Pelodiscus sinensis: one gene and its partner. The protein of the gene in region 2 interacts with the protein of the main gene of each other region in a pairwise test. Links are inferred from orthologs where the notes say so. Each region holds a gene or a part of one and is shown on either strand. Other genes may lie near its edges.

Region 1 (7,720 bases), on a different chromosome or scaffold from region 2:
CTTAGCGCCGTGAGCCATTAGCCTTGGCTGAGATTTATAATATATAACAGAGGTCCTGGATCAGGAATGCCAGAGTCACTGAGCAATAAAGCCACACCCAAACCTTGGGAAGAAGCCGGTTCTGCCAGGGACTCGGGGTAAACAGCATGGCTAGCCAAGCTCTGAGGGACACAACTCATAGCTCAGAAGCGGAAGCTTGCTAGCCAGTCCTGTTCCTGGCTGGCCACACATTTTTCTTCTCCTGCCCCCGGGAACATCTGTCAGTCTTGAATCCCTGACACCAGCCTGACACCACAAGCATCCCCAGAGCTCCCTGCTGCCCCATTGCTTTTGTGTGCGCTGGCCCATGGGAGCCACCCTGGCCCGGAGCTGGTTTCAGGGACCAAGCTGGTGCTTGCCCATCCCAACAGATTAGCACCACAGGAAAGCATGAGCCCTACCAGTCCTGCCCCGCCTGCTGACCGAGGCTGCAGAACTACCATGGACACGCCGTGGATTGGCGGCACCAACTGGCAACAGCCCCTGTTGGAGTCATTCCCATCATCTTCTGCCAACCGGAGACCGTGCTGAGTGCTCAGCTAGGCCCAAACGAACACAGGGCCTGTCTAGGGTTGCCAGATGGTTTAACCAAAAATACCAAACATCCCCCCCTGCCCCAAGAGTTATTAAGCAAAAAAAAAAAAAAAAAAAACCCAGCATGTTGTTCCTTTAAGGCAGCATGGCCGTCAGCCATCTTGTTTTCCTGCTCCGAGCCAGAAGACAGCTCCCCTGTGGAACCAGGTAAGTGAGAGAGCTGGGCCCAGTTGCTGAGTGGATCGTAGGGTTGCCAGGTGTCCGGTACTTTTGCCTCCTGGCAGGGAAAAAAAAATCAGAATATACCAGACATTTTAGGTGTCTGGTATTTTCTGAATTTTTTTACCGGACAGGACGTGAAAATAACAGACGGGCCGGGTCAATACTGGACACCTGGCAACCCTAGGCCTATCGGAAGCATCTGGTTGTCAGTGAAGTCTCCCGCCTCCCTATGCCTGAGCTCCTCCTGATCAAAGTCACCAGTGGGGGTGTTTCCTGTTAGTCTTTCAAGCTTCCTCCCTGTGTTTGTTAACCTGTCACATGGTTGCAAGATGGGCAGGCCGGGCTGGAAAACGGGGAGGAGGGGGGGTTCGGGTCAGGGTCGCAGTGTACCGGCCGAGCTGTGGCTGCAAAAGCACCAGGGCTGCAACAGCAGAAAGTGGAGGGACAGGACAGGGGTGCATTGGCAGAGCTGGGCCTGCAAGCAGAGGGCCGCAGTAACCAGTCAGAGCACGAGCATGAAGCACTCTACTGCCACGATGGGGAGGGAGCCCTGCCCCAGAAGCAGTGGGAGCAGAGCGTTTTGGTCACGAGCCCATGGAGCGGCTTGTTTAGAGTGGCCAATTTGGACTGGACGCATCCTTGGAGATTTCACGCCGGGCTGTAATCTTTAATTCGAGATTCATCTTTCATTCCTGGAGACTCCAGGCCAGTCCTGGAGGGCTGGCAACCTTCCACTTGTTCCATGGTGCTGCGTTTATAGCGGGGGTGGGAACCCCTTGTTGGGTCGGGGGCCGCTGACCCACAGCGAAATCAGTTGGGGGCCACACACAAGTGAGGCAGCCTCCAAACGAGAAGCAGAAAGACATTCTCCACATTCCCCTCAGACACCAGAGCCGAGGGAGGCCCAGGCTAGTAGATGTTGTGTGCTCCAGCCCTGTGAGGAATGGCGGGGAGCTGAGGCACCAGCACAGGCTCCCCAATGCTAGGAGGAAGCCCCATGCCTCAGGGGCCAGATCCAGGCAAGCCGGGGACTGGTTTGTAGCACCCATCCCCATCGTATTGGAAGCCTCCGCTCTTCCTGTCCCACTGGTCCCAGTGTCTCCAGATCAGCTCTGACAATGCCTTTTACCTCAGGGTAAGAAAGGGTCTGGGAGCAATTCTCCACAGATCATCTCTGGTTGCCCTGGGGGAGCAGGCTCCAGGACCGGCTAATCGGAAGGTGGAGCTTTCGGAGGGGCAGGAGAGCAAGTGGGAACGGAGGTCAGAGGATGGGACTCAAGAATCTCTGGGGTTCCCCCGAAGCAGTGAGAGGAATAGTCTGCTTTCCTCCTGCTGCGGGGTGGGGCGTGGCTGGGGCTGCCACGGCCTCCCAGAAAGGACCCCGGCGCCCAAAGGTCAGCAGTAAATCTTGCCTTATTAAAAGCGCCCGACGCGTCTGAGCGTGAGAGTAGCTGGGGGAAGCGGTTCCGGGCCTGGTGGGTTTGCAGGGTCACTCGGCATGTCAGAGGAGGGCCCGGCTCGGCAGTATGGGAACAGATGGAGGGGAAAAACGGGGAATTGCTGTGCTACACCTGCCCAGCCAGCGCCGTGCAGCAACCTCATCCATCTCCCTTTCACAGGCCAGCCCCAAGCTCTGGCTATTCACACAGCTAATTAGCCAGCCGCTGAGTGAACCCGGCTGTCTGGAGCAGCAGAGAGACAAAGGGCTGCCTTTGACCGCACTGGGCTGGCTGCTCCCAGGCGTCTGTCTCAGCAAGGTACTGCGTGGCATTGCTGCCCCTTTCTACTCCTCCTGGGCTGCTTCCTCGAGGGGATGAGTGGATGCCGCAGCTGTAACTCAGGAATAAAAGGATTATTAGGGGAGTGCCGAGGGGCCTCAGACGTGAGCAGAGACTCAGTGTGCCAGGTGCTGTATGTACCCATCATGAGAGAGTCCCTGCCTCAAAGAGCGCCCAGTCCCACCCGACAAGACAGAGGAAGAAAAGATCACGAGCCCCCAGGTGCCTCCGTGCTTAAACACCTTTGTGAATCCCAGCTGCAGAGAAGACCCAGTGACTTACCCAACGTCACACAGGCAGAGCCAGGATCTGAATCCAGATCGCCTGCGTCCTTTAACCTCCAGACCATCATTCCTGTCTAGACGGGGGCAGCCAAGTTCAAATCCAGATCCACATGGGACGGAGACGCCTTGTTGTATCCCTGTTGTTTTTATGTTCTCTAAGGGCTTCCCTCATCCCAGAGCATTGAAATTCCTCCACCCAGACCCCCTTTGTTCTCTTAGCTTTATGGGTTGAAGTACTGGCCCAGCTTTCCTCAGCTGCGCTTCACGCTCCATTAACCCAGCCCCGCCTTTTCTCAGGTGATGCCAGGTAATTAACTGGCCCCTCAGGCTCTGGTTAACCCTGTCAGGCCTGGTGTGGGCTGTAGCTTATCACTGATCTAGCCCACATAGGTCCTGTCCCTGGAGCAGAAACACTCAGACATTCCCTGAGGCGGGTCTGTTCAGAGCAAGGCTTGGCCACGTCTCCGAAAAGGCGCCAAAGCTGTAGCAACATCTGCAGCTAAGCAAGCCATGAACCTGAGCACCCACCCTACAGAGCATGTCCTAAGGAAGATCAGGTTTAGACGGAGGCAGGCCTAGTGCTGAGTAATGCTGGGGCTGGACTAGTTTGACTGTCCTTGTGTCGTAGTTCAGAACCAACTGGCACGGAGCCCGTTTCCTAGCCAGAAAGGAAGAACAATAAGACACCCACAATAACAAACCCGCAGGGTTTCCTACCAATCACACCAAAACGGAGACAAACGTCACCATGCTGATGTCACAGTGGCTGGAGGTGCCCCTTAGAGCCAAGCAGCTCCAGCAGAAGACAAAAGCAACAGCTTCTTATTGGGAAGGGATGGCAGACAAGGCCTAGCCCCATGCAAAGTCGGAGCTCTGCTCTCGCTGGCATTACAGAGATCTGGCCGTCAGCCCCTTCTCACTCAGAGCTCCATGCACACCCCTAAGGCCCTGTCCATGACATGGGGACGGTGTGCATGACAGAGCCATGCTGGGGCTATTCTCCAAGTCCCAACGCTGTCGGGACTGTCCCCATGGCTGCAGCTCACCTAGCAATGACACATTCAGAGCCCCTGCATGGGGATCGGCATGAACTCATTGCTACTGGTGGCCAGCCCTGGCAATCTGAGCTAACCGAACTGAGACGTGTGCTATCATTTCACCGAGGCACAGGGGAGCGGGCGTCAGTGATAGGCACAGTGAAGGGCAGTCAGGATCAGATGTATGTATTACCCTATCGTATATTACACCACAGCCATGCCTGGACACATGGCACTGCTGGTGGATGTATGGTGGGGGGGGGGGGGACTTTTCCAGTTGAAGAAATGGTCTGATTGCATGTGGCAAAACTTGCCTGTGTTCCTAGGCGGAACACTTCCCTGGGTCCCTGTTTAATGTATCCCTGGTAGCATTTAAAGCAAGGACAAAGACGATTCCTGCCTCTCCTCCGATGTAAGCCCACCCAGTTCTATTAAGAGAGATTTATGATTCCTTTAAGATTTCTCTGTAAATCAGGCAGGCGGTGCTAACGGTGCATTTCTGACTCGCCCGTGCTGGGTTCCTGCGGCGCTGGCCTCAGACCAGCTGCAGCCAGTCAATTCCTCTTTTTAATTATTAATTCATAATTCCCTAGAAAGCTCCTTTTTAAAAGCCCTGCTGTTTATCATGCACTGTGTCTGGCTCGAATGCGTCTCGCTTGCTTTTTGCTGCCCCCTCTCCAGGACCGCGCTGAGTGGAACACGTCACAGCGAGAACGAAGCACTTGCCATTAATGGAGAGCTGAACGCTGAGTTGCTGAGTCTCCTGCTCCTTTCTGCTAATTTATAATAATTGGAAAGGGTGGGTGACTAGACACGAACACTACACACCCTGCACAACGACTGCGGGAAGCAGAGGAAAGGCGGACTGCAGGGGTACAGCACTGAGGTGGTGCTACCAGATTCCTTCTCTAACCTAGGTCAAGTTGCTTAGGCTGGGTCTACGCTTTCCCTTGCTTGGAAAAACTTTTGTTGTTCATGGGTGTTTTATCCCCTTCCCCAGGAACGACAAAGTTTTGCCATGGCAAGTGCATGTGTGAACACTGCTTTGTCGGCAGAAGTGCTCTCAAAGGGAAACCCGCTCTTTGGGGGTAGAAGTATTATGTCGGCAAAAGTGCCAACAAACAGTGTTCACACCTGGCAGCTTTTAGCGACAGGGCTATTGTCACAGCCTACTTGCTAAAAGTTGCATAGTGTAGACATCGCCTCAGTCTTTCCCTGCTTAGCTGTGAAATGGGGATATTACTATTGCCTTTCTCTCACTCACCACCTCATAGACTCATAGACTTTAAGGTCAGAAGGGACCATTATGATCATCTAGTCTGACCCCCTGCACAGTGCAGGCCACAGAATCTCACCCACCCCTCCTAGAATAATCCTCTCACCTATATCTCAGATATTGAAGCCTTCAAATACTTTGAAGACCCCAAGATGCAGAGAATCCTCCAGCTGTGATCTGTGCCCCATGCTACAGAGGAAGGCGAAAAACCTCCAGGGCCTCTGCCAATCTACCCTGGAGGAAAATTCCTTCCCGACCCCAAATATGGCGATCAGCTAAACCCTGAGCATGTGGGCAAGACTCACCAGCCAGACACCCAGAAAGTTCTCTATAGTAACTCCTATCATCCCTCCACTGACCTATTTCCCACTGATAATGAATGGTCAATTAGTTACCAAGATCATGTTATCTCATCAAACCATCCCCTTCATAAACCCATCTAGTTTAATCTTGAAGCCAGATAGATCTTTTGCCCCCACTACTTCCCTTGGAAGGCCATTCCAGAACCTCACTCCTCTAATGGTTAGAAACCTTTGTCTAATCTCAAGTCTAAACTTCCTACTAGCCAGCTTATATCTATTTGTTCTTGTGTCCACATTGGTATTAAACTTAAATAATTCCTCTCCCTCCCTGGTATTTATCCCTCTAATATATTTAAAAAGTGCAATCATGTCCTCCCTTAGCCTTCTTTTGGTTAAAGTAAACAAGCCAAGCTCCTTGAGTCTCCTTTCATAAGACAGGTTTTCCATTCCTCGGATAATCCAATGGCCCTTCTTTGTACCTGTTCCAGTTTGAATTCATCCTTCTTAAACATGGGAGACCAGAACTGCACACAGTATTCCAAATGGGGTCTCACCAATGCCTTGTATAATGGCACTAACACCTCCTTATCCTACTGGAAATACCTCACCTAATACATCCCAAGATCGTATTAGCCTTTTTCACGGCCATGTCACAATGGCGGCTCATAGTCATTCTATAATCAACCAGGACTCCGAGGTCCTTCTCCTCCTACGTTACTTCCAACTGATGTGTCCCCAGCTTATAACTAAAATTCTTGTTATTAATCCCTAAATGCATAACCTTACACTTCTCACTATTAAATTTCATCCTATTGCTATCACTCCAATTTACAAGATCATCCTGATCTTCCTGTATGATATCCCGATCCTTTTCTGAATTGGCAATAGCTCAAGTTCCTCAAGGCAGGGGCCATTTCTCATGGTCTCTACATATAGAACACAGCTCAAGGCAGCTCAGAGCTTGTTGGAGCCTCTAAATCTGTGGTTCTCAACTGGTGGTCCATGGTGACTTTTTCGGTGGTCCACAGGAACATTGCCCAAAGTCCACAAAAATTTGTTGTTTGGCCTGGTGGTCCGTGGATTGAAACAAGTTGAGAACCATTGCTCTAAGTAGAACTATCAATATCAATAATAGCAATAGCAATAATAATACAAGTGGAGCAGTACCTCAGCTCATCCAGTTTGGAGAATTCAAGGGGTTGATGCTTTGTACAGCAATCCGGGGGCCTTGGAGTGTTATGTGTAACATGGCAACATCCTATGTTCTCATACTGCCCATAATCCAATGGTGGGCCATCTGTGACCCGCAGACTGCATGCAGCCCATGTGGAGAGGGGTGTGTGCACATCCGACAAGACATTTTGTTTACCGTTGCCCATGCACAGGGCTGCCAGATTCTCCTGGTGTACATCCGTGTAGTTGTTTTCCTACCCGTACTACTAAAGTGACACACCTGTAAAGCAAGGGCCGGTGAAGTGAGGTGCATGCCAATTGCAGACAACATTGACCGTGAGAGCTGTGTGCTCCCTCTTCATCCCATCAACGTGCGGCTATGGTACAATCGGCACCCCCTGCAAATTCTAGCTACGTATGTTCAGTGAGCAAAACTACCCTGTCCTGAGGCCATCTTGGTTAGGACAATCCTGCGGCCCACTGAGATGAAGGAGGGCCACTCATGCGGCCCACTCACTAATCTAGGTTGCCCATCGCTGCCAGAATCTAATCAAATTCATCTCGCCTCACACACATCGATCTCATCTAGCTCTCTCTCTTATGTACCTATGTGCCCCCTCCCACCATGACAGTATCTGAATGACTCACAATGCGGAGTGTCAAAGCCATGTCTCTCATTCTGCTCAAACCAGGTTGAGCTGGGTAAATGGTCAGGCCTGCAGAGCGCAGCTCGCCACTTGGCCTTAGGAAGATCACTGTGTCATGACTGTGATTTACGCTGTGCTGGCAATGCGCCGTTCAGTGCTGCATGGCACATGCAGTAATAAAGAGCTCAGCCCCATGGGGATGACATGCTAATCGCTTGATAAGAATGAGCTTTCACAATCATGGGGGGACACAGTGTACCTGGTGGCATCCAGTCCTGGTTAGAACTGGCATTGGAAAGAAAATTGGGATACCAGTGTAACTGCCACAGGGCAGATTTGAACCTAGAAACTCTGGAGTTTAGTGTAGGAACCTCTACCACTTGAGCTAAAAGCCAGCTGCTTCTCAGCCTAGGCTATAGAGATCTCTT
Region 2 (7,238 bases):
ACTGGGGCACTGGAGTTCTGCACTTCCCGCTCCTTCCTCTCCCCCTCCCTCCCAGCACTTTCAGAGCACTGCTGTTCAAGCTCTGGGAGGGATGGAGGAGGAGCAGGGTCGGAGCGCAAGTCAGCAGATTCATGGCATTCCAAAAGTGCTGGGAGTGCAGTGGTAGGAGCAGGTAAGTGCAGAGCTGCAGTGCACAAGAGGGACATGGAGGAAGGGGACAGAGTGGGATGTTCACTGACATGGAGGGCCATTCATGCAGCCCACTTACTAATCGTGGTTGCCCATTGCTAGTCTACACTAAAAGTGGCCACAGCACGAGCGCTGAGAGAAATCAGCCCAGGCTCGTATGTAAATCACCTCCACGATGCTCCCAGTGCTATATTCTGGTTCACACTGGCTCTTCACAGTGCTGTAACTTGCTGTGCTTGGAGGTATTTTTTCACACCCCTGAGCCAGAAAATTACAGCACTGTAAAGTGCAATGTAGACTTAGCCTTGGATTTACAAAGGGAACATGAAGAGAAATCAAGTTGGACTATTAAAGTTATCAGAAACCACAATTCATCTAATTTTACCATTTCAGTCTGTTTCTGAGACAAAAAAGCAGGCTCTTTCTAAGCAAAAAAGCAATAATTTTAGACAAGTGACATTTTAAAGAAGATACTTTAGTTGACTGCAAGTAATTATTGTCTGAATTTCTTAGATAAAGAATTTTTCCTCCAGTTGCAGGTCTTTCTGAGAATTTGCCACATCACTCCCAGATGTGTTTTGTTACTTGGAAAATGAGTAGCCAATGCATTATTACTCGGAAGCATAGACCTCAAAACATTTTGTTGTTAGATATTTTCACCAAGCTACAGTACAATTCTGATAAGTTCTTTTGCTGAGCCTCTCTTGTGATAAAGTATTATCAACAAGTTCTGCTGACTGAGAAGATATTCCAGCGCTGTAAGAAAATTTAGCTGTTAATTGCTTACGGCAAAGAATGCAAAACCTGTGATGGTCACTGCACAGTGTATGAACATGTAGAGTATTAATTAAATGTAAAAAAAATGAATTGCTATATGTTGAGATTGTAATTGTACCAAAAAAATCAGGAAATTCAAAATTATTGTTCCACAGCAAACACAGCTTGTTCCCCTTGCACATATCAGGAAACAAATAGTAACTTGAATTGTTTAATATATGTATGTAAAAACTATGAGTAATCATTGTGGTGGGAATCTAGAGTAAATTCCCCTAAGACAATAAACTCTGAATGTGCTGACCTTCAAGTAATTAAAATCTCAACATTGTTTCATTAACATTTACATTAGTTCCCTTGGTTTTGCTCAGTAAGAACATTGCTTGATAAATACCATAAGATCATCAAGCCACCAGTTTTTTAGGTTGTCAAAAACTACTTGAGCATCATTGGTTCTCCATAGATGGAGAATCAGCTATTCAGTATCCCCTTTGATAGCAATGCATACATTGACCAGACATCCTGTTTTTAAAGGTGCAATCCCATATTTAAGTCCTGCAAGTGTCCCAACTTTTTCTTAAAAATGGACACATTATCCTGTATTTTCAGTATCCCACCACCAACAATACTGGCAGCTCCTGCTACTGGCTGGATCCCTGCTTGCCAGCTGCCTGACCATCAGTGAAGTCCAGTGCCTAAGATGGGAGTGGGTGTGCAAGGCAGTGTGGGATAAAGATGCAGCATGGCTGCTCCCCCTGCTGGTCCATCAGCATAGTTCACGCAGAATGTCAGATGTCTGCCAGCAGGGCTCTGTCCCACTTCCTGTCCCATTTCCAGCTGGTACTGGTGGTGAGCTGCTGTGGTTGTGTGCAAGCAGGTACCAGGCAGCAGCTGGTTATGTGTTGCTGCTGCTGCCCACCAACTGGCCTTTTCCAAGTTTCCCCTTTCACTGTTCTCTGCTTTGCCTGCTTTCTCCTGATACTCTTCCATATCTGCAACAGGCGCCATTGCAACAAAACAGGAATTTGTGTATGTCTAAAGAATAAAGTTAAGCTTTAAAATAGCCAAGATGTACATAATTAACACTGAAATGTGTCTGTTGTGGATGCATGTCATCATACCATTCTCTTATGTAAAACATTACTGCTTTAGGAAACCATAAAGTTGATCTACAATTTTAAAATAAAAACAAATCACTGTCACTTTATTACTAGGTAACATGTACCCCAAACACCAATGGTTAAACACTCCTTCAGGTTATTTTCTTTTATAGCATATAGCTTTTCTCGTTTAGCATCTCAAAATACTTCTAAAATGTGTGTGTGTGTGTGTGTGTATACACATATACACACACACACACACATTTATATAATGTATATTTTTATTTATAAACATTTATATAATAAATATAAATAAATAATACTGATCTTCTCAAAATACTAATGGCTGCACCCCCCTAGGCAGATTTCCCAAAGCATTACAAGATTTTATCCTGTGTTCTCATGAACCTTTTCCTCTACTGCTCTTCCTAACACTACATATCTGTTCACCTGGATCTCAGAAGCCTCTTTAAAAGAACTAGCTCAGTAATATTCACATATAGTTTATTTGATCATTTTCTCTGTGAGGGGTTTAGAGTGACCATATTTCTCAAAGTGAAAATGGGATACCACATGGGGCTGATCCACGTCATTTGCCTAAGCCTCTCCTGCCACCATGTGAGGCTGGCCTAAGCTCAAATCCCTTCTCTCCCCACACCTGCCCTTTCTGCTGCCAGAGTGACTTGCCTAAGCCAACTGGTGTGACTGCTAACATGAGCCCATTGTACATGGCTAGTGTCTTCCCTTGCTCTGAATTAGGAGAAGCCTACTCCAATTTTTTGGCAGAACTCAGCATCTGTCCTGTTTGACCTTGCCAACTTATGAGCTGGCAAGATTAAACTGAACAAACGGGGGCCAACAGACATGCTGAGGCCTGGGGCAAGGTGGGGGTGCAGCTCCATGCCCCCAGAAGGGATGTGGCCTCAGGTGCAAGGGACAGGGCTGGGAGCAGCTGGCCTTCAACATAGCCTATGGATCTAGTGCAGTGCACTCCACGCTATGTCTACACTGGCGGGTTGTTCCGCAAGAACATTTTGTGAAGACTTCCTGTGCAAGAAATCTTGAGAAGAACACGTCCACACGGCCATGTGCTTTTGCGCAAGAGATTTGCTTTTGCGCAAGAGCATCCATAGCTGTGTGGACGGTTTCTTGTGCAAGAAAGCTCTGATGGCCATTTTAGCCACATTGCCTTCCTGCACAAGACCTCCTGCGCAAGAAGGCTTACGCCTGTCAGAAAAGAGCGTAGCTGTTATGCAAGAAGCCCTCTCTAACCATGCTGTACTGTAAATCTTGCGAAAGAGCTGGCGGGCAGTGTGGATGCTCTGCGGAAGAACAGCCGTTCTTGCGCACAAGAATCCACCAGTGTAGAAATAGCCAGAGTGATTTAAACAGCCTGGGGCTCCAGCTGCTGTTGCTCCTGTGGTAGTGGCAGTGGTGGCCAAGCGTCCCAAAGCCCAGCAATTCTAAAAACCCTGGGACAATTGCCTCTTTTGCCCCGTCAGCAAGCCTGAAGACAAGTGCCCATTTTTGAAAAAAAAAAAAAAAAAAAAGTCAGAACAGCTAGGCCAGGGCTTACAAAGGGCCTGATACCAAATTATTAGTTGCCTTAGTGATACCATTAGTCAGTGAATAATCACCACTACACGTTCATTATTCAACTAACTTTATTCTTGAAAACAGCTTACGTCAGGGCCCCCATTCTATCCTTTCAGAAACAAGTACAGCAGTCGCTCCCCCTCTCCCTCATTGGAAAAAACACATCAGATTCTTCAAGTCAAAGCAAACCACACCAGCAACACAACAACAAACACAGGGCAGACAAGCACAGGAACTGTTCTCCTCCCCCAAAAGCCTTAGTGTGCTCCAGCCTATTAGCCAACTCCCACGCCTTTGCATCCCTTCCCCCTAAGTTCCCCACCACAGCGCGTCCCAAAGCAGCAAGTCAGTAGCAATCACCCAAATTCCCCCGCTAGAAGCGTCCACCGAAAGCTCCAACCCCCCCCGCTTCGTCGCTCGCTTCGGTGACCAGCTGATCAAATCCCGCCCAGTGTCTAGCTCCGCCTCCCACCCCCGGCTGTGCTGTTTGCTCCTCCTGACCTGCGGGAGCTCGCCTTTGCGCGCTCCCGTGGGCTGTGTGTTTCCTCCCCATCGGTGTCGCCAGGGCGCGCCCGCTGCCCTTGCCCGCCTGCGCTCGGGGCTTTGTTTGTCGGGCCGGGCTGACGGCGCGGGCCGGCGGCAGAGGGGGGCTGTGGGCACGCGCAGAGCAGTGTCTCCTCTTTGGGGTGCGTGGCACAAGCCGTAGGAGGAGGACACAGGTAATTGGCTCCCAGGAGCATTTCACCAGGCAGCTTAATCTGGGGGGCCTGGCGCTGCGTGTGTAGGATTCTTGGAGTTGCTGTGCTGGAGTTAGGATTTGCTCACACGTTGCCTGTGGGGAGACCCTGGGCTGGGCTCCAGTGGGGCATGTGTCTGTTGGATTGTGTGCTGCGAGCAGACCAGGGGGCTGTGTTCACTGCGTCCTGTGCTCAGCAGGACCACGCTCACACACGAGAGGGCTGCACGTGCGCTGTCTTTCCAACAACTCTCTGCCTCTGCTTCCCTGCCCTGCCTTGCCCAGTGCGTTACAGAATTCTGTTTGGGCTGTGGGCACGGGTGGGCCAAGTCAACTGTTTCATAGTGCGCCCGTCACAAAAGATTACTGCTGTCCTTATTAGAGGTAAAGGATATGTGGGCTGTAGCAACTGACCTACTCTCTAACCTCTGGAGGTACTCAGTCCTCCTAGCCGCTTGTGAGGAAACCTGTGTTGTGTCGATTCTGTCCCTGTGAATGCAGGATATCAGTCCCCAGGCGTCTTAATCCAGCCTTCAGATCACCTATATATACAGAGAGAGAGTGGAACCAAAAAAAAGTGACTTGAAGTGTGACATGGTTGTGGAGAGACATTCCAGAAAGTACTAGCTTCATTGGTTAGATATTGGAGGCTCAGAGAGAAGGTCCTTATTCTGAGTATTATGTAACAATTTGCAGGGAGTAGGAGGATGTAAAAGAGCCCTGTGTGCTTATATACCGTCTTTATCTTGATTAGAAGAGATCACTCTGATTCCAAAGGGCCATTAAACTATTCTTCCAGGAGTGAGCTAGATCTGGAAGTAACTCTGGGGCTGGGAGGGTACTGGGACTGGTCAATACAGAATGCGTGAAGTTCCACTGCACCTATATTTTGCAAACTTGCCAGTATATTTTGTAATTTGCGTATAATACTAGTCTCTCCCCACTTTACACAAGAGCATTGTGGGATAGGCCTGTATTACTAAATCTTCATAACTTATACCGCTGTGGTCTCATTCATATTTTATGAAGTTTTAAAATTCAAAATTAAACTAAACCCTAATTGCCAAACCAAGCAATACATTCTGTGATAGTGAGTAACATTAAAAAAAATAAATTTAGTAATGCAGTTCATGCAGATTAGTGAGGTTACACTGAAAGCAAGAAGTGACACACTTTAAGCTCAGGGACAATGATATTGACACTAACAGTCATCACTACTAGTATAGGGACCAGCACTGACTTCACTCTGACAGTCACCCTGGCAGCTGGAAGAGGCAAGCTGTCAAATATACTGGAGAGAGGAGGAGTTAAGTAAGATGTAAATAGAGATCTATAATTTACAGATGGAAAAGGCCTAAAATAATCGGGTATGCAACCCATCTCCTGGCCAACACATGAGTGATTACTATTTTGTATATATTTCTAGTGCTGTGTCTAGTTTAGCTGAAAATGTGTAAGTAATGGGACCACGCTAATAGATCTCACTGCAGAGAAATTTTCCTTGATAAGTCAGACTGAATTTTACCTTTCTAAATTTAATCTGCTATTACTCCCAGCTATCATGCTATATTCTTTCCATGAGTTCTTCTCCGTGCCTGTTTTTTTTTTTTTTAGACCAATCATGTAACTATTTAAAATTACTGCGTCTCAACATAAGATGTGGTGCTGTGAAATTCTGAAATGCATCGTTCAGTGAAGTCTGTGCCAAGCACCATCCATGATTATGCCTTTAATTGTTACTTAGACAATGTATATTTTTAGTTTTCATAAATCCAGAGTTTATAATTTTTATTGCTTTTGCTTGATTTGTTTATTGCTCTTGCCTTCTGCTGCAGGAGGTTGGGAATTTAAATATTTGTCTCAACTGTTACCCATAATTTTATGTAGTCAAATGCATTTGAGTTATATCCCCAGCTCCAGCAGCTCAGAATCACCAGGCTAGGCTGTTCTTGTAGTATTGTATGTGGGTAGGAATCAGTTACATTTGTGGACAAATGACAGCAGTAAAATATATTTCATGGGATCAACCAAAAATACAAAAGCATAGCACATAACACATTAGCTCAAACCTCTGAAGTCTGTGCTGGGGCTTCCTTTCACTTGTGTGGGTTAGCAAACATTTTAAACTCTAAAACCATGGTACGTTCACGTCTTGAATACTGCGTACAAATGTGGTTGCCTCATTTTAAAAAGATGTATTGGCATTGGAAATGGTTCAGAAAAGGGCAACAAAAATGATAAGGAGTTTGGAATGGGTCCCATATGAAGAGAGCTTAAAAAGGCTTGGACTTTTCATCTTAGAAAGAGGAGATTGGGGGGGATATAATAGAGGTCTATAAAATCATGACCGGAATGGAAAAAGTGAATAAGGAAAATTATTTACTTGTTCCCATAACATGAAGTTTTTCTTCATTTAGCACACAGTCAGCCTGTGGAACTCCTTGACAGAGGATGTTGTGACGATCAGGACTTTAACAGGGTTCAAAAACTAGATACGTTCATGGAGGTTAGGTCCATCAATGGCTATTAGCCAGGATGGGTAGGAATGGTGTCTCTAGCCTCTGTTAGTCAGAGACTGGAATGGATGACAGGAGAGCAATTGTGATGATTTCCTTTTGTGTTCATTTCCTTTGGGGCATCTGGCATTGGCTACTGCTGGAAGACAGGATAGTGGGCTTGATGGACCTTTAGTCTGACCAGGTATGGCCATTCTTATGTTCTCATGTTAAAATTAATTTGAAAAATTGATTCTAGATTAAGTTTAAGTACATGTCATCATATTTTCAACAGCTCAATATTGGTGAAAAGAGGATTTCTGGTTTCCCCTTCTCTTTAAAATTAAA

What was found.
Region 1: the proteins of MIPOL1 (region 2) and TTC12 interact in binary tests that used the Homo sapiens proteins (3 or more experiments, as listed by UniProt). The two-hybrid records come from large-scale screens. The link is inferred for Pelodiscus sinensis from reciprocal best matches to the Homo sapiens genes MIPOL1 and TTC12.

The regions. Positions count from the first base shown.
Region 1 is NC_134736.1:8,171,710-8,179,429, reverse strand, and holds the start of TTC12 (tetratricopeptide repeat protein 12), read right to left. Parts: upstream 3,060-7,720; 5' UTR 2,856-3,059; intron 1-2,855. UniProt on the Homo sapiens protein: Cytoplasmic protein that plays a role in the proper assembly of dynein arm complexes in motile cilia in both respiratory cells and sperm flagella.
Region 2 is NC_134714.1:46,601,289-46,608,526, reverse strand, and holds the start of MIPOL1 (mirror-image polydactyly gene 1 protein), read left to right. Parts: upstream 1-4,140; 5' UTR 4,141-4,378; intron 4,379-7,061; 5' UTR 7,062-7,095; intron 7,096-7,238.